Elephas maximus indicus: one gene and its partner. The protein of the gene in region 2 interacts with the protein of the main gene of each other region in a biochemical or structural test. Links are inferred from orthologs where the notes say so. Each region holds a gene or a part of one and is shown on either strand. Other genes may lie near its edges. The genes, in order: ENC1 and NFE2L2.

Region 1 (10,153 bases), on a different chromosome or scaffold from region 2:
GCGGTTCTCATGCACGCTGACTGACATTTTGTTTCCACTCCTAAAAAACAAAACCAAACAAAAGCATTCAACTTGATGCTCCTGAGGTTCAGGACAGAAGAACAAAAGCAACAATCATTTTGTACAAAGCAAACAGGACGCTTTGCTGTGAAGCTCTGCGGCCTGCTGCTTTGAAGAGTGTATGGCCGTTCCAGTACAAAGCCAGAGACAATTACCTATAAGGAAAGGCATTCATTTTGACACTGGTGAGCTATTTGAATTATACACTGTTTAAAAAAAAAAAAAAAAAATCCCTGCTCAAAGCAGGTTCATCTTGGAAAACCTGATCGTCAGCTTTCAGGATACTGAAGTCCTTGAGAACATAAGTCAGCAAAAGACAAGAGGGACAAGGTCTCATTCTCACACCTCCCTGTCCTAGGCCAGCTGATTCACTGCGGGTCACCTAAAAGGCCAGGCCTCCTACTCTCATAATGCCAGGATGGGCACCTGCTTTCACGCCCTGTGCAACATAAAGCTGTGTGTCAAACAAACACCTACTAATTAATTCCATTAAGAATTCCTTTGGTAAGAGTCCGTCTCCCTGGGTGTTCAGTAAATGGGAAATGTCAGATTAAAATCATAGGCTGAGGCTACTTTTCCAACAATCAGACCTTTCTGTAAATGTTATAGATCATTTCTAACTCCACAGCTTTACCACTATGGAGTTCTAGAACGCAAACATTACCATATATTGGTCAGCAGGCTTTAGTGATAACCACAGGATGGATGGTGGCCCAATCACCACCACTCTTTCTTGCTCTGGACAGCTTCTAAAACGAGGCTGTGGGCACACAAAAAAAAGCAAGAATGTTTTGAGTAGCATACTAATGGATGCCATTTCTCTGTTCTTCCTGCTTTATTTCAATTCTTCGAAAACCAGTTGCAAGAACAAAGGAGCTATCCACCCCTCTCTTTTGCTTAAATGGTCCACTGCCTGGACTGTTCTCGTATATCTGCAAATGCTGGTACCTGTGTATGAGGAGTTCAAAGCTCAAACACTGCTTTACTAAAGTTAAAAAATATATACGCATACACACATATGTATATATACACGTGTATGCATAATATACTTGGCCTACTACATTTGTTAAATTAGGGCCACCCCTGAATTTTCTGACTAAAATGCTTTCTTCAATAAATAAAATGAAATTATACCAAAATCTAGTGCTATTTTTTTATTTTCTTCGGTAAAGAAACTACAAGGTAAAAATACAGGAAATGTTACCCTTACCTTTCCCTATTGTTTATCTTCAAAAACTGAACCTCAGGTCCTTTTTACACTACCCCTCTGTTACTCCAAAGGAATAAAGCCCTCAAAAGCCAGCCTGTCAAGTAAGTTGTTTATCCCAGAAGTGGAAACTACATGGATACAGTATCTGTTCCAATCCCAGAACAGCCAGTCCTCATAACCGAGCTGAAACTGATGGCCTCAGTGTTTCCTTTAGCATCCGGATATGTATTATTTGATTTATATTCTAGACATGTTAATAAACACAACTGAGTGATTAACCACAAATTCTTGCGCTAAGATACCAAACTGCACTTCTCTTGATCAGCCTTGGCAGACACAGAAAATAACAAAGCTGAGTGCTTTACATGGCTCTGACACACTGCCACATAACATTAGGTGATACAGCTTGTTTACTTTAATTTTTAGAATGTAACTTCTCATTATGAGTAAACACAGCTTACTGCAAGAAGGCAAACAAGAAAGTCCTCCAGCTCTGGCATTTGGAAAGCTTTACAAAGCACCCCGGTATGCTTGAGTCTCTCCACAGTGACTTGGGATATGAAAAATGGTTAGGAATCAAACATGGTCCCCATCTCAAACTAAGCCTCCACTGCCAAGTTCATTTCAATCCATGATCAATATTCCAGTGAATGACCTGTACAAACCGAAGTGAATGTACCAGGCTTCCAAAGAGTTAAGACATGTATTAGCATCCCTCATGTTCCATCACTGTAGCTGTCATTTTAATTAATGCATCCAGTAGTATGTTCTTTGAGAAAGGTTTCAAGGCTAAACCTCAAAAGACTGTATAAATACTCCAATGCCCAACACAGAAACTTAACAAAACCTTGAAATGAGTAGCTATGCAAGTTTGGTGTTTCCAAGCAACCTCAAAAGCTGCATCCTGTTAGGCTAATAGTAAATGTAGCTCTGGTGGAAGAACGGGGCTCTGCTGCAACCAGGTGCGCAAGTACCAAAGTGCTTGCGCATTGAGCTAGCATCACCCTGCCGCCCAGGACACATTTGACTTGGGGCAGAAGAAAGCAGCATTCACAACCAGACCTACGCTTAAGAAAATGTTTGTTTAGAAGACTTTAGGAATAGGAATAGAAACTATCTGCATCTCTCTGCATTTTCCAGATTGGCACATAAAGCCAGAAGGAAGGACCTAGCCTGTCATCTTGGATACCATCCAGACAGAAACCGTGCCACAATTGAAATCTAACATTCTTGCAGTGATGTTTGATTAAAATAAAAGGTAAACTTAGAGACCCATGGAAAACGACTTGCTTTCAAATCGCGCAAACATCAAAACATCAGCAGAGACCATTTACGCAGTCACTAAAAAAATGAATCATCCTCTGGCATTTTTTAAGCCCCCAGAGAAATAATATTTGCATGCCAAGTAAGTGGCTGAGAAAATGCACACGTATACTTAACGTGTGACTACAAAGAAGACCCTGAAAAAGGCTATTACCGTCGACATCAAAAGTGTGCCTAGTTACAGTAACTTCAGTTCACTTAACGCTCCTTACACACGCCCTCTGCCTCCAATACTTAAGCATCCCATCGCGTCCCTTCAATATTCACTCTGATCTCAATTCGAAGAAGAAACTCGACAGATTTTCTATGGCATTTACATCATTTACGACAATGGAACAATATTATAAGGATCTTAACAAGAAAAGCATTTTCCCATACAGTCCACTTGCAACATGCTGGCCATGCCTGCGAGGGCAACAGCAAATTACATGTCGAACAAGTTCAATGTTTCACCTCCACACCGCCCACCAATCACTATCCTTTGAAATTAATAGTGTTACACTACAGGCCAAATACTTGCATGAGAAGAAACTAGTTTTTCAGAACCAGGTTTCATCCACTACTTACAGACATTTCACCGCATGAACGTGCCCGTCCGTGGGGTGTGAGCGTAGCCCCAACCCTCCCTCGAGCCGGCTAGGGTGCAACGTGGGCCACGAAACCCAGAGCGCTCGGCCCTGGAGGCTGCGGGGAGCGAGGCAGAGCGACAAACACCCACAGGGAAGCGCTGCTTTCGGCGGAGCAAAGAAGCTGATCCTACACTGCCTGCGTTCCTCGTTCCCCCCGCAGCTTGCCCCGGCGCTGCGCTGCCAAAGGGAGCCCTGTCGGCCCCTCCGGCGATGCCCGGCTCCTGCTTCCTGTGGAAGGGCAGCGGCGTGCACCCAGGTCTCTGCACCAGCAAGGGCTTCCCCCAACACGCAGCTCGCGGCTCCTGGGCGCCCGCACACCCCATGCGAGCACGCCCCTCGCGAACACACCCCCGCAGCTCAAGCAGCCCCTGCAAAGCCCGCCGCTCCGGCAACAGGTCCGGAGCAGTGGGGAGAAACTTACAGCGGTGGCAGCTGGCCTCCGCGCACAGCCGGCTTGTTCTGGCCTCGGCGACCGGCGCAGGGAGGCGACGAAGTGGGCGTCTCAGACCCGGGGAGCGGCAGCGACTGCGGAAGGAGCGCGCATGGGGCGCCGGCCCGGTAGAGGACCGCTCTGGGGACGCTAGCTCGCGGGGCCGCCCACTGCTGGCGGTTCGCCTCGGCCTCGCGGTCCCCGCTCCACGGACCCTGTGCCCGCGACCCGCGACCCGCGAAGCGTCTCCCGGATCTTAACTCGGGAGGGTAGAGCGAGCTTGCGGCAGCAGCCGCCCGGAAAGGAAGCGGGCTGTGTGCTCTGGGGAGGGAGCTAGAAAGCGCCGTGCGCGCCGGCAGCCGCCTGGCGTCTGGGCTCGATCCCAGCGGCACCGCCGTGAGCCTACCGCTCTCTGGCTGCCCGAGCAGTCTGCGCCGGGCCGCCGTGCGCCCGGCTATAAACGCCGCGGGGGCAGCGGCGGCGGGGAGGGGAGAGAGGAGGGGAGAAGAAGGGAGGGAAAGGAGGGAGGGGGCGCGTATGCAAACAGAGTGACACCGGGGGAGGGGAGGAAGCGCATTAGCGGGGCAGGAGGAGGAGGAGGAGGAAAGGAGATGGGGAAGAGCGTGTCGGGGGAGTTAATCGAGAGAGGAAGTGGGGAGGGGGAAAGGGGGCTGCGTAGAAGTGGAGAAGACAAAGCGGACGCGGTGTCTCGGCCACTAGCAGCTGCAAACCCTCTGGGACGGCGAATAAACCAAGTTGTTTTGGGTCGGAGTGTCTGTGCCTCTCTGGGCCAGCCCGGTTAATGGCTAGCCCCAGAGCTGAGGGACTCAACGCAGGGGAGCGCAACCTGGGGCTGTGCGTTCAGCGCGGCCAGAGCCGGCGACCTACTCCAGAAAGGGTGATGAGGGGAGAACTGGGTGTCTGCGGCACGCGCCCTGGACGCGCACAGCCCACCCGTAGGGCACCCGGAGGAGGGACAGTGGCGAGGGAAGGGGCACAAGTTTGGACACTCCGGGGACACTGCAGGTTGGGTAAGACGGGACTTACGGTTTCTAGCTGGCAGGGGGCCAGACAGACTTGCGCCCCAGGCGTTTTACATGGGTCCTCCCTCCCCTCCCCCCTCGCGCCTCGCCCCCGGCGGGTGCAGCACCCGGAGCCGGACTCTGCCCCTACGCCGCCCCGGAGCACCAGCAGCCCCGGCATGGTCCCGTGGGACGCGCACCACGTGCTTCGCAGCCAATCGCCTTGGTCGCATGATTCAAAGCGATCTCCTCAAAGGAGTGGCCTCACCGCCTCTTTCCATGGCAATAATGCCTGAGTCCTCTCAGGCTGGATCTTTCCCATATTTTATTGCTCTGTGGTGTTACTCTGGAGTTCAGTACAAAAAAAAAAAAAGGCCCAGCACGCATGTTTAAAGCGCCGCCGGCCTGCCAAGAGGAAGGAAGGCAACTCAAAAATAATCTCGCTCGGCGATAACCATTTACGAATTCCATTTTTTATCTTTGCAGTTAGGACTCGTATTTCCACTGGGAGTTAAAACGCCTGTTTGCTTTTTCTTCAGTATTTGCAATAAAGCGTATGAATGAACCATAGAGATTACCGGTCCAACCCCCTCCTTTTACAGTTGAGGAAACTGAAGTCCAGGGAGATGTGAATTGCCTGGCTCCTGGCCACGCAGCAGTTTAGCAGTGGCCCAGCCCTGGAGCTCGAGTGAGGCTGCCGCATCGGAGTTTTCTCTGACCTGTATCCGAGCTTTCTTTAAAACTCTTGGTACAGAAATGGCTCAAACAGGCTAAGGAGGTCCCACTTGGCGCTACGAGGGTCCAGGGAGGGCTGAAACCAAGACTCTGACTCTTGTCAGTTTTTTATTCTAACCCCACTTTCCTCTACCCGCATTCCCTCCTGGTTTTTCCGTGCCGAGAGTTTCCCTCTTTGCAAACAAAGAAAGACAGTGCCCTCTGAAGTCCTTTGTTAGCATTAACTGGGCAGCATTCCTCAGGGCTTCCAGTCGGTTCAATCCGGTAGGAACCCCTACTGAGGATTTGTCTTTCCACCCAGATATACTGAATCAGAATCTACATTTTAACAAGAGCTCCAGGTGGTTCTTTTCTATGATAAATTTTGAGAAGCACGGCCGTACTACTCTTGGTTCTCAGAATTGGTCCCTAACCAGCAGCATTCGCATTACCTGGGAATTTGTTAGAAATGCAAATTCTCAACAGGGCCTTGAACTGGAACAAACCAGTTCAAAACCCTCACCTCACCAGAGGAGTCTTTACAAATCTGTGACATATTTCATATTTTTCTTGTACTGTGGGTGAAGGTTTATAGAACAAAGTAGTTCTCATTAAATAATGCACATATTGTTTTGTGACGTTGGTTGCCAACCTCACCACATGTCAACGCTTTCGCCTTCTGTACCTTGTGTTCCCCCTTACCGGCTTTCCTGTCCCCTCTTGCCTTCTAGTCTTTGCCGCTGCCCATTTAGTCTCGTTTTGTTTGTTTTATGGGTCTGTCTAATCTTTGGCTGAAGGGTGAACCTCAGAAGTGAGTTCATTACTCAGCGAAAGGAGTGTCCAGGGGCCATACTCTTGGGGATTTCTCCAGTTTCTGTTACACCAGTAAGTCTGGTCCTCTTTTTTTTTTTTTTTGGTGAGTTAGGATTTTGTTCTACATTTTTCCCCAGCTCTGTCCGGGACCCTCTATTGTGATCCCTGTCAGAGCAGTTGGTGGTGGTAGCTGGGCACCATCTAGTTGTGCTGGATTCAGTCTGGTGGAGGCTGTGGTAGATGTGGCCTGTTACATTTTCTTTATAAACTATGTTATGCCAGTTGAGCTAGATGTTCCCCAAGACCATGGTCCCCACAGCCCTCAGGCCAGTAATTCTGTCCCTCAGGGAGTTTGGATGTGTCTGTAAAGCTTCCATGCCCTTGCCTTGGTGAAGTTGTGCTGACTTCCCCATGTATTTCAATTTTTTAATGCAGAGTTTCGGCTCCCAACTGCTTAACAAAGCCAGAGTCGGCCCCCCTCAAGTCTTGGTGCGGTGGTTCTGGGGGCTGCTAGGCGAAGAGGACAGTGCCGCAAGCAGAGCTGTGTTCCTGCAGGAGACGGGAAAAATCAGCGAAGACCAAACGGGTAGAGACACTGTGCACACCAGGAATAGGTGCTGAAAAGATGGGAGGTGGAAATGTGTAGCTATTGCATGTATGTCCTTTTAAAACATGTTTCTGTAGCCTGTGGCCAGGTGTGGGGGAAACCTGATCAAGGCTGCCTCCTAGACATATATTGTCACTGTTTCCAGTCTAAAGCAAGCACTTTAGTTTTGAAGACCAAATGTTAATGTTTTTCACTGGGGAAATTTTCTGTTTAAGAGATTAACACTTTTCCTCATTATGGAAAAGTACTTCCTTTTTCCTTCAGTCAGTTCTACCTAGAAGTCTACCTAGGAGACCCTACCAAAATCTACCTGAAATATGTAAATAGCACAGTGAATTGATTGAGGACGTTGCTGCATGAAGCCACCTAGCTAGGAACAGATAAACTGTGTCTGTTGCATCTTTGTTGCTGTTGTCTGGTGCTGTCCTGTCGGTTCCGACTCACAGTGACCCTGTGTACAACAGAACCGAGATACTGCCCAGTCCTGAGCATCCTGACAATCCTTGTTATGTTTGAGCCCATTGTTGCAACCACTGTGTCAGTCCATCTCATTGAGGGTCTTTCTCTTTTTCTCTGACCCTCTACTTTACCTACCATGATGTCCTTCTCCAGGTACCAGTCCCTCTTGATAACCATGTACAAAGTAAGTGAGACAAAGTCTCACCATCCTCTCTTCTAAGGAGCATTCTGGCTGTACTTCTTCCAAGACAGATTTGTTCCTTCTTCTGGCAGTCCATGGTATATTCAATATTCTTCACCAACACCATATTTCAAAGGCATCAATTCTTCTTCAGTCGTCCTTATTCATTGCCTAGCTTTCACATGCATATGAGATGATTGAAAATACCATGGCTTGGGTCAGGCACACCTTAATCCTCAAAGTGATATCTTTGCTTTTTAACATTTTGTCTTAGACATCTAGTGCTGCTATAACAGAAATACCACAAATGGATGGCTTTAACAAAGAGAAGTTTATTCTCTCACAGTCCAGTAGGCTAGAAGTCCAAATTCAGGGCACCAGCTCCAAGGCAAGGCTTTCTGTCTCTGTCGGCTCTGGAGGAAGGTCCTTGTTATCAGTCTTCCCATGGTCTGGGAGCATCTCAGCACAGGAACCTCAGGTCCAAAGGATGTGTTCTGCTTCCGGCACTGCTTTCTTGGTGATATGGGTCCCCCTGTCTCTCTGCTTGCTTCTCTCTTTTACATCTCGAAAGAGATTGGCTTAAGACACTATCTAATCTTGTAGATCTTATCGATATAACTGCTGCTAATCCATCTTATTCCATCATAGTGATGGGATTTACAACGTATAGGGAGATCACATCAGATGATGAAATGGTAGATAATCATACAATACTAGGAATCATGACCTAGCCAATTTTGATACACATATTTTTGGTGGACACAATTCAATCCATGACACACTTTAAAGAGGGCTTTTGCAGCATATTTGCCCAATGCAATCTGTTCCTTGATTTCATGACTGCTGCTTTCATGGGCGTTGATTGTGGAGCCCAATAAAATGACATCCTTGACAATTTCAGTAGTTTCTCCATTTATCATGATGTTGCTTATTGGTCCATTTGTGAGGATTTTTTGTTTTCTTTTTATGGTGAGACGCAATCCATACTGAAGGCTGTATGGTCTTTGATCTTCATCAGTAAGTGCTTCAAGTCCTCTTCACTTTCAGCAAACAAGGTTGTGTCATCTGCATATCACAAGAAGCAAGGTTGTGTCATCTGCATACTGCAGGTTGTTAATTAGTGTTCCTCCAATCCTGATGCTGTTTTTTTTCATATAGTCCAGCTTCTCATATTATTTGCTCAGCATACAGATTGAATAAGTATGGTGAAAGGATACAGCCTTGACGCGCACCTTTTCTCATTTTAAACCACCCAGTATCGCCTTTTTCTGTTCAAACGAATGCCTCTAGGTCTATGTACAGGTTCCTCATGAGCACAGTTAAGTGTTCTGGAATTCTTTACCATCGTTACCACCTGGAAACTGCAGAACGTCCTTAACCGTGGGTCAATAAAGTTCATTGGTTTTGCGAAGAGCTTTGCTAAGCAGGCAGGGCTGAAAAAGGTACGAAGCTCTCTGGCCATGTGTCATCATCTACTGATTTCACTTTCTGGTGTCAGTTTGTCCTAATGTTGCCACATTTCTGTGATTTAAAAAAAAAAAAAAAAAAAAAAGCTGTAGCCTGGAAAATCTTGCAATATGTTCAGTGACCATACACATTTGCTTCATCTGCCACAGGGAGATAGTCAACACAAGGCAGGGGGAAAAACAGTTATGTAGGTTATAAAAACAGAAAACATACTCCTGCTGAAAGACATAGGAACTGAACTTGCATTTTTCAAAATGCCAGTCAGCTCCTACCTGCTGTACACTGGTTTGCTTGAACAAATACATGGAAAGTTTTGGGGCCTGTTGGCAGTTTCTAATGTTTATCTCACAGCTGAAAGTGATTTTCCAGTTAGCTTACTTATAACAACTTAAAATTTGTTCTCCCTACAGCATTTCTCAGCCAATCCCTAAAGGTAAGTCTTATGACCTTACTCCTGGAAAGAAAAGGTGAGCCAGTCTTTTAGCTGAGCAGGAGGAAATCTCTGGTTAGGCCTGTGATCCAGCCAGACAACAATAGACATAATGGATATCTGCATATTAGACAACTCAGGAAATTCAGCCACATCCACATTGTACAATGGCCACCACCTCACGACATAGGCCAGCCCCTTAGGCCTCTGGGAGTTGGTCTTCGGCTTTGCCTTGTGACACCAAACCAAGGTTTCATTTTTAACGCTGTTGAGGCTTCGGCCCTGTTATCTCCCTTAACAATGTTACTTTGTTAGGCTGCAAAATAAACAGCATGGGGTTAGATGTATTAGCTGCCTTCAAACCTAATTTATCTTCATTCCTTCCTAATTTACACTCGGGCTGAATTAATGAGAATGATTTAATTAACACGTGCACTTATGGTACCAGGGACAGGACAGATCGGAGGATTAGAACAAACTGTGGGCAGGGGCTCACAGCTGCCATCCTCCCTCCTGTGGTCCAGTGAAGCCCCACTGAAATTTCAGTCCTGTTCCCTGCCAGGACTCCAAAAGCATCCTCTACTTGTCTAATCTGTGAGGTGGCACAGTTTTCCTTTCTCCTGCTATTTGTGGGATGGGCTTCAAGGCTGGGCCCTATGGAGTTGGAGTGGAGATCAGTCATCCACCAGAGATTTGTGCTTCTCCTTCTGTGGTGTCAAGGTAGTGTTGGGAGGTAGACGCCCAGCCAGGAGCTGTGTCCCAGTCCGTTTAAGTTTTGAGATCAATACCTGTGGAAGGGAAGGGAGGG
Region 2 (10,049 bases):
ACATCTTAGCAAAGCATTGTATGTAGGTAGCCACTATCAATCAGAATTGGCAATCAAAGTGAAGCCTACTTGTCATCTCTGGGTCAGAAGACCTCTAAGGTTTCTTTTATTTCTAAATATTACTCAGAGAGAAAAATGAGAGCCTGCAGAATAGCAAATGTCAGAAGACAACTATCTTGCCAAGTCTTACCTCCCTTTTTTACTTTCAGCCTCAGAGAGTGTTATATATAGACTTTGTCTGCAAGGCCTGTCCAGGAGGATGCTCTGCTCTCCCATTCACTGCATTCTACCTTTTATTTGTCCAAAAATGAGAAGAGTTCGTTTGTTTTTTCCAATCGTAAAAATGCTTGCCATAAAAACGTGAATACAAAAAAAGTACAAAGATGAAAGTGAAAATTATCTTCTCTCTCACCCCCCATTATTAATATTTGGTAACCAGCCTTGCAGACACAGGTCTAGGCATAAGTGGTTTTCTGAACCCACGCAGCAATGTTATATATGGACCTCTTTGCAAGCACTTAGAAGCTGCATTTCTTAGGTCGCTATACGATGTGCTCTTAACATTCGGTCTTCGTCTGGGGGCTCCTATTCTGCTGAGTGAAACTTTGAAAATACAGAGGATTGAAAGAGAAATGGATCTTCAGACTGTTCTCCCAACCATATTAAAAAGGTGTGGTGAAATTCTCCAGGCTTCACTCAGGTCAAGTAAATACAGAATGGAAAGATTTACAAAGCTTGTGGTTAAAATTCAATTGGAAAATGAAATGGAGAAAAGCAAGGGCTCCTCCCTGACCCCTGGCTCCCCCACTTTTTCCCCCTCTTATTATAAAAGTAATATATGTTCATTTAGGAAAATACAGACCAGCAAAAATGAGCAAGATAAAAATCATTGCTAATGCAAATAATCAGAATAATTATGGTTGACATTTTAGAGCCCCTACTTTCCGTCTTTCTATCCTATGTTTATGTATTTATATAGATATAGATTTATATAGACATACAGCCCATAATTCAAAACCGCTGTTGTAAATCTCTGTTTTTCCCCTTTGCTCATTGTATTGCTGTTCCTGCTGGGCACTATTTCTACCACGAGGAGAATACCGCAAGGGTTAAAACTGGCTTTGTACACATATAGTTCTTCATAGCAGTAGTTTGCATAATGAGGTGTGTACACCAAGGAACCAGGGTTATGGGTGTGTTTTGAAACTAATACACCAATTATTTTGAACACTGCTGAATGGGAGTTCAGTTTATCTGCTGGGCAGGTCGCTCTTCAAGTTCAAACTCCCTGAGCAGATATTCAGCAAGCATCTGACATAACTGATATAAATGAGGTCACGCTAGGGCCAGAATCTCTATATGCATTTATACCTCCATCTACTTAATTGGTGAAGTGTCTGTGTTCTTTAATTGTATTTTGATAAAGAAAATATTTTTTATCATCTAAGTAATGGCATAGGGAGGAGTGGTAGCTCCGTGGTAGAATTCTCGTCTCGACAGTGCGCTTTAAGCACAGCCACTACCTATCTGTCAGAGGCCTGTGTGTTGCTATCATGCCAAATAGGTTTCAGCAGAGCTTCCAGACTAAGACAGTCTAGGAAGCAAAACTTGGCAATCTGCTTCTGAAAATTAGCCAATGAAAACCCTATGGGTCACAAAATTCCGATCTGCAATTGATTATGGGTATGGCACAGGAAGGACTAAGCAGCATTTTGTTGCATTGTGCGTGGGGTCGCCATGAGTCGGAGAGTCCATACAATGGCAGCTAACAACATGTAGTGGTATGGGAGCTGAAGCTTGGTGTGATGAAGTTATTCACTCTGTATGTGGCAACAGAGTTCCCGTCCTCATTTCCAGGAAGGCCAGTTAGCTTCTACCTTATCTACTGAAGCACTGTTTCTGTACTTGTGCTCCTGGTGATGGTTAAAAAAACTTAGCCAACAAAAAAGCAGCCAGAAGAAACCTGCCTTTGATATTCAGTATATGCTGTTTTGCTTATCTATTACTGCGAAACAAACCACCCTAATATTTAGTAGCTGAAAACAGTTTGCTATAGTTTCTCACAATTCTTTCGATTGACTGGTTTCAGCCAGGCAGTCTTTTCCAGGTCTTGCTTGAAGTCTCTTGTGTGGCTGCAGTTAGACAGCAGCTGAGGTTGGAGTTTTTTGGGAGCTTGACTACCAGTAAATAGTCTGGAAGGGCCAAGATGGTTTCTTCATTCACCAGATGGTGCCTTGGTTCGTGTGGCCTTTCTCCACTTGGAATCTCATCCTCCAAGGCTTCTCCCGTGGCCTCTCTCTTCATGAAGGTAGTCAAACTCTTACGTGATGGCTGACTTTCAAGAGTGGAAAATTGAAAGCTACCAGGCCTTCTTAAGGCTCAATCATGGGCCTGGCACAGTGTTACTTGCAGCCTCCTTCCATAAAGTAAAGCAAGTCACAGGGCCAGCCATGACTCAGCATTGGGGGCTGGGGGGTTACACAAGCACATCACTATCAGGAGGGGCAGTTTACTGGGTGCCGTCTTTGGAAACTAGCTACCCCCTATGCTCCAACTAAGCTGAACAAAGTAGAATTTCAACTATAATCCCAAGAGATTCTGAATATTTTTTCTGACTCAAACACTGAGTATAGCTGAGGGAAAGAGAGAAGAGGGAAGAAACCTCAAAGTAAGTGTTGGAGGATTTTGAAACAGTTGTTACTTTCTAGGGTTTTGCAAATTGGCAGATGAGAGCATGCAGAAGAAGGTAAAAATAAATGGATTAAAGCATCACCATTATCCAAATTTTGTGTACACAGAAAGCTTACTCGAGGAGAGTTTTGGAGCAAGGTACTATTCTGGCACAAACATATATGGAGGTCTGTCTTTCCAAAGTCAGTAAAGAATTCAGACATCAATGGAAATGTACAAAGATCAGTTAAATTTAAAACCAATCGGGGAAAAAATAAAATAATAAGCTAGGAGAGGTTGGCAGTGAGAAGAGCTTCTGGGTTTTTATGGAGCCTGAACAGAGGAGATAACCAGCACCTCTTTTTTCCTGCTCCCCTGGAGTTTCTCGACGTGTCCCATCTGTGCCCCATAGCATAATATATAAATTTGGGAGACAAGGCAATTTAGGGAAGGGCCCAGGCTCAAATGAAGACAATCTATCTCATTTTAGTGTCTTTAAAGACACTCTTTGATATGGGTGATCTCAGATTGAGGTTCCCTTTTCTTGCACTGAACAGCTTTCCCTTGGTGTTTATATTTCTTAAACATGTTCAGACTGTTATCATATTGTTCTCCTCCCTTTGAAAACATGTACTCTGCAGGTACCTGAAACAATACACTCCCAGAAAATTGCAGTTTTGTAAAAGTAAACGTTATTTCTATTCAGTCTAAACTCAATGGAAATTTTGTTGCTTAACAATACCAAGTACTTCATAAATTCCTTGAGGGCAACAACCATGTCATATATGATTTTTGTTATCTCCCACCTGCTGGACTCATCGTTTACCTCCGCCAATGTAGTAGTTTTAATAAGTAACTTGAATCGTTAACAATACACTCTTGTCTCCTTCTTTGATGCAGAAATTTCATTTCATTGTTATGTCTCTTCATGTTTCATGTCCAGTTCTTTGTAAATAATTTTTCCTAAGCTTCTTTTCAAAGTGCAGATCATTTTGCAGGCTTTTTACATAACCGCTGAAAGGGTTTAATTTAGGTTGAAGAAGCTTGCTTCAACTACAATTAATTAATTTAGGCTTCATTTATCTCAAGTATTTGAAGATATTAATTTACAGGTAAATCCTGTGAGTGTCAAATTATGCAACTAAGAGAAAACAGTTCTTTACAGTTTATTTGGCATCGACATGCTGTAAAAAACCAGACCTGTTGCCATCCAGTAGAATCAGACTCATAGCCATCCTATAGGACAGAGCAGAACTGCCCTCTAGGGTTTCTAAGGCTGTAATCTTTAAAGGAAGCAGACTGCCACATCTTTCTCCCGCAGGGCAGCTGGTAGGTTCTAACTGCCCATCTTTTGGTTAGCAGCCCAGCACTTAACCACTGTGCCACCAGGGCTCCTTTGATGTGCTATAGTCGGCCTTTTTTTTTTTTTTTGTGGTGAGGTTTTCGAATGAAATAGTAAAACCACAGTGGCACCACTTCACCTGGTTTTGAATAATTCCAAGAAGCTAGAAACCGAAAACCAGATTTGTTAAAGAGTTATTGTTAATACCTAAGTGAAAAAAAAAAAAATACAATTTCGCTATTTCCTTTTAAATCCTGTAAGACTTTACAATACTGCCGTTTTTAAAAACTTGGAAGTTTTCTGTAGGGAATGATTTTTAAATAATTGTTTTCTAATGGAAAAATGATATATATTCATTGTGGATTTAAAACATACTTAAAATAACCCTACCCTCCCCCCCAAACAAACAAACAAAAAACCTAACCCGTTGCAAACCAGTCGATTCCAACTCATAGTGACCCTCTGGGACAGGGTAGAACTGCCCCACAGGGTTTCCAAGGAGCGGCTGGTGGATTAGAACTGCCAACCTTTTGGTTAGCTGCCCAGCTCTTAACCACTTAGCCACCAGGGCTCCTAAAATAAAAAAGGAAGGTAAAATTCATTCATGATCCTGCAACTATTAATATTTTGGTATCCTTCCTTTTTGCTTTTCCCCTAGGCACTTTTTTTTCAAAGAACGGGCCCATTACTATACATTTTGTAACTTTGTTCTCCGCCCCCCCCCTTAACTATGTCGTGAATAAATGAAAAACTTTTACGGATTATGGCATGTTTTAGTCAAAGGACGCCATCTGTGGTGTGGTGAGTGTGCTTTGGGGAGAAGAAAAAGCTTTTGGGGAAGAGAAAGTTTTTGGTGGACAATATTGACCATTCTGAACAAATGAGACCTCTCCATTTGACCTTGGCGATGTGACCCCAGCGAGAGTGCGAGCGCGTGGGAGTAAATGGAGGGCGTTCAGGGTGACTGCGAGCACGAGTTCCCGGCGCGGTTCCCATGTCCCCTGGGAAGGGCCGACTGGGCCCAGCCCGGAAGAGAACCGAGGGCGAAAGGGCAGTTTGTGGTGTGCACACTGTGGGTCCAAGCCTGTTGCTCCCGCCCCCGGGTGGCGCCACCCTTGAGCGGTGAGTGAGATAAGCCCGGACAAGGTTCTGCAACTTCAGATCCGGGAGGCGCACCTCCGATATCCGCGCCTTTGCCTAGTCTCCGGGCGTGTTTGTTCCAAGTGTTTAAACTGTCTCAAAGCGCCCGAACCCGAAAGACCCTCTGCAAACAACTCTTTTATCTGTCGGGCGGAGGGCGCTGGTTTTATTTGCGAGGGAAGGCCAGTTGAGCGCGAGGACCGCGAAGCTAAAGGACCCCTCTTCTCTGCATCCCGCCTTCCCGCCTGCGGCCTCCCACTGGGCCCCCCAGTCCGCCGCCCTCCGCGCCCCCGGACCGCAAGCTTCTTGCGTCAGCCGGGGCGGAGGTGGGGGATTTTCCGCGGCTCTGCTCGCGCGGCCAGCGGGGGAAGGAAGGGCCCGTGCTCTTGCCCCGCCCTCGCAGGGCGGGAGGCGGAGCGGGGCAAGAGCACCGCCGGCGACTCCGGTCGGGTTGCCCAGCAGCGAGTGCCGGGGAGCCGGGAGGAGCCGCTGCCAGTGCCGCCCTGTCCGCACTTCGGCAGCCGGGACAGGGCCGCCGTCGGGGAGCCCTAGCGCACAGTCCCCAGCTCAACATGATGGATCTGGAGCTGCCGTCGCCGGAACTACCGTCCCAGCAGGTGCCGTCCCGATCCTCCGAGACCCGCGGTGGCTCCAAGACTGGGGCAGGGTCGTCAGGGGACCGCGGCCCGCTCCTCCTCCAGTCTGTGGCCAGAGTCGGAACTGCAGCGGCCGCGGACTGGAGCCGCTGCGCGTGCGCTGGAGCCGGCGGAGAGGAGGAGCGGGGACCCTAGGGGCCGGGATGGGTGTGGGGACGAGGCCGGGTGGCCAGACCGACTACGAGCCCGCGGCCCCCGAGGGGCACTGTGGGGAGAGTTTCTAAGCTGCCCCCGCGCGGGTGGGGCAGAGAACGTCACCGGCCGCACCCCGGCCGCCGAAGCTGGCACCGGGGAGCCCAAGCCGGCTCCCGGGGTGTGAGGGACGCTGAGGCGGCAGAGCAGGAGGGGGCGGACGGCCGTAGTCGGAGCCGGTCCGACCCGGCCCTTCCGCTGCTGCGCGGTTCCCCCGCCTAGGAAAAGGAGCGGGCAAAAATGTGCCTAGTCACGGGGCTGCTCTCGGGGGAGCTGAGGTCTTCGCTGGGCTGCGTTCCAGAGCCCCTCCTCTGTCGCTGCCCCTCCCCGGGTCCTGCGACCTCCGCGCCGAGGGCCTTTGCGGGGCTTGCAGACCCCACCAGGCCGTCTATGGGTTCTCGGTTACGAAATAATCAGCTGTCAATCCATGAAATCACTCTTTGGTCAGCCTTGAGCTAGAAAGCCCAGCCCCCGGGGGAGGGAGGAAGTCCTGACGGCCCGTCGTGCTTGGAGCCTCGACGTGCGGCTGCCGGGCCGAGGGAGAGGTTGGGGCTCGTGGACCTTGGGCCGGACCCTGCAGCCCCTCGAGGGAGGTGGGAGAGAGGACAGCGGACACTGAAGTCGGAGTGCGCGGCGCCCGGGGCTTCCCTTTCCGGACGAGGTGCCTCCCGGTGTTGCACGCCGCGTGCGTGGCCTCGGCCGCCTCAGCCTCCGTGACAGTGGCCGGTTGGTTGTCACGGCGGCCCTCGGTTGGCCCTTTCCTGCTTATAGCGTGCAAACCTCGCCGCGCCGGGGCCAAGGGACAAGTTGGAGCTGTTGATCTGTTGCGCAATCGTTATTTTCCCCAGAGCGGCTTTGTCTTTGGATTTAGCGTTTCAGAATTGCAATTCCAAAATGTGTAAGGCAGGATATTCTGTTCTGTGCTGTCAAGGGTAAGAGTTTCGACTGTAGATTAGAATTTCTACTGCTTTTAGGCTGCTATTCAGTTATTTGCTTTCAGCTATTATTCCCCCTTGGGTGCTTACATATTTTTCCTTTTTTGTTTGAGGATTTGCCTCAGTTTCTTAGCATGTTGCCTTTTTTTTTTGCAAGGGCAGAGGGAGGGACACTTGTGTTTCATAATGCTTTGCTCACAAGTTCTGTAAATTGTCGTAAAAGTGAAAACAAGTTTCTCTTTAAACTTTGTGGGAAAATTTAAAGGAATACGTATTTATATTTGCAGAATTTTTTGTGTGTGTAATTGGGTTTTTAGAAAAATATTTGGTTTAAGGAAATGTGTTACATGATTAAAAAGTAATAGTAAATGTGTTTATGCTTGGAAATGTGAAATTTTAGGCTGACCCTGAAGATCTAATGTAAGCTTTCAAGTTGTTGACGATGATTCATTGTGCTGTTTTTTTTTTAAGTTGTTTGTGTTGAGCTTCCCCCAGTACTGATTGGGATTGTATCCTCCAGGTTCCCACTAGTAGGAAGAAGTAAAATCCTTCCTATTTAGATGCTGTTCATTAGTAGTCTGTAGGAGCTCTTGTTTGTCCAAGGGATATATGAGCTAATGGACTTTAGTTTTCCTAAATTCAGGAATTGTAGTCTAAAGTCCTCTCTTATTTTAAAATTTTTTTCCTTTATTGTGAACTTTAACATTCCGTATATGAAAGTGCATAAAGCGCATGTACTGCTTTCCCCTTTAAAGTGAATTTTTCAGTTATGTTTGATAAAATTACTGCTTTTCCATCTTTGTAATTATAAATCAGTTTGCATATTTGAAGACTGAAAAGTAAATGGAGTTAAATTTTAGAATGGATTTCATGTCTATAGCTATGAAGTAAATTCATACAAATTACAATTTGTAGTCCAGAAAGATTTAAACAGTCAAAAGTGGATTCTGACCTTTTGTCAGAGAAACTCCAGGTGTGAAGTCATAGTGGGGATGCAGTCTTTCACTCTCTGTATGAGAGAAGGTGTTAACAGGACTTATAGCTCTATTATATAGCTCTATTAGAGGAAGGATCCATCCATTACTCTTTTCAAGGGTGTCTTGGAGAAATGAAGTACTTTTGTAGATGAGGGATGGAGTTGATCTTGGACTAGACCAATAAGGCTATTTTTAAAAGTCAAACACAAAGAAGAAAACGGGCCTCTCATCTCCTGAATTAATGTTAAGCAAAGAACGACTTGACTTTTTAGATATGTGAAAAATCTCTGAGATTGTTCAAGCAGCATGTAGGAGAATAAATGCATAACTCAGTCTTTCTGCATTAAAAATAACTTAGGCCATTATAAACTCTTTCTTGCAAACTTGAGTTCTTCTAAACAATGTAGGGGAGAAAAAAATAAACAAAAAACCCGTCTTTCTTTAGGATTACCAGGAATAGTTGAAAGTCCAATACATTACTTTTCCTAGTATTTATTTTTATTCAGGATGAATTATACTTACAAAGATGTATGTGAAAAGGGACTGTCTGTGGTCTACAAGCATATTCCCCCCCCCCCCAGGAATTTCCTCTGTCCTGAAAAAACATATTTAAAGAAGGTATTTTTTTTTTATTGCATAAATATAAATAATACTTCTTTAATTTCTTCTTGAACCTCGGTTAACGTTTCAGTGTAAACTCTTGGGTGCAGAAAGAATTTGGCACTAAGATGATAATAGTTAAGTTATTGGGCATTACCATGATGCCAGGCAGTGTGATAATTGCTTCTCATGCATAAGTTCACAGTAACTCCATGGGAATACAGTTATCTCAGATTTCCAGGTGAGGAAAGAGACAGAAAGGGAGAGAGGCCTGCTTAAAGTGACCCAGCTTATTGAGTGGCAGAGGTAGAATTTAAATGTAGGCAGTCTGTCTCCAAACCAAAAACCCATTGCCGTTGAGTTGATTCCAACTCATAGCAACCCTATAGGACAGAGTAGAACTGCTCTTTAAGGTTTCCAAGGAGCACCTGGTGGATTTGAACTGCCGAACTTTTTGGTTAACAGCTGTAGCTCTTAACCACTGTACTATCAGGGTTTCCAGTCTGTCACCTGTGGCTCTTAATCACTTCAGAACTGGACCGTGCCTTGTTGTGTGCCATCAAGTAGATTCTGACTCATAGTGACCACCCTATAGAACAGGGTAGAACTACTCCGTAGGGTTTCCTAGGCTGTAATCTTTATAGGACTAGATCACCAGGTCTTTTCTCCCTCAGAGCTGCTGGTGGGTTCAAACCACGGACCTTTCAGTTAGCAACTGAGTGTTCAACCACTGCACCCCCGTGACTCCTTGACCATGCCTTAAAAAGTGGATAAATTGAGAAAAACTGGGGGGAGGAGATACAGGAATTAAAAAGATTAATGTCTGCACCTTTTTCCAGTTACCAAGAAATTCGATAACTGGGTATGTGATGGAGGAGGTAGGCCTTGTTAGATAATACGGCTTGTCAGTGGAATTACCACACGTAGTCCTTCTAAGGAAGATATAGAGGCCTAACTGGATTTAATTTAGGGAGGCAGGACCATTTCTTAATATAATAATAGTTTTTTAAATGTCTGGAATTCAGCACTGTCCGATATTGCTTCACATTTTCCAGGGGCCATTTTTCTTTTCTTAATTAAATGTCCTAGTTACTGGCATTTTTGTTTATCTTTGTTTGCCTTGTTAGTTGGTACATTCTCCTGTTCCATTGGCTCTTTTTATTTTGAAGTAGTAATCTAAGATAAGTTTGGTAGTGAGGATATGGTGAAGAGTAGAACAAACTAAACCAAACCCATTGCGGTGGAATTGATTCCAGCTGAAAGCAACCCTGTGTGTTACAGAGTGTAACTGCTTCATAGGGTTTTCTTGGCTGTGATCTTTATGGGAGGAATCCCTGGGTAATGTATACGGTTAAGTGCTTGATTACTAGCTGAAAGCTTGGTGGCTGGAACCCACCCAGAGGCACCTTGGAAGAAGGGCCTGGCCATCTGCTTCCAAAAGCTCACAGCCTATGAAGCAGTTCTACTCTGCACCCATGGGGTCACCATGAGCTGAAATCAACTCAATGGCAACTAACAAAATCAACAATCTTTATGG

Evidence for each region.
Region 1: the proteins of NFE2L2 (region 2) and ENC1 form a complex in vitro, tested with the Homo sapiens proteins (2 studies listed by BioGRID). The link is inferred for Elephas maximus indicus from reciprocal best matches to the Homo sapiens genes NFE2L2 and ENC1.

Annotation. Positions count from the first base shown.
Region 1 is NC_064820.1:79,159,489-79,169,641, forward strand, and holds the start of ENC1 (ectoderm-neural cortex protein 1), read right to left. Parts: upstream 4,768-10,153; 5' UTR 4,700-4,767; intron 4,323-4,699; exon of another isoform or gene 3,644-4,322; intron 41-3,643; 5' UTR 28-40; coding exon 1-27. UniProt on the Homo sapiens protein: Actin-binding protein involved in the regulation of neuronal process formation and in differentiation of neural crest cells.
Region 2 is NC_064824.1:75,429,324-75,439,372, reverse strand, and holds the start of NFE2L2 (nuclear factor erythroid 2-related factor 2), read left to right. Parts: upstream 1-5,175; 5' UTR 5,176-5,724; coding exon 5,725-5,769; intron 5,770-5,775; exon of another isoform or gene 5,776-6,593; intron 6,594-6,599; exon of another isoform or gene 6,600-6,932; intron 6,933-10,049.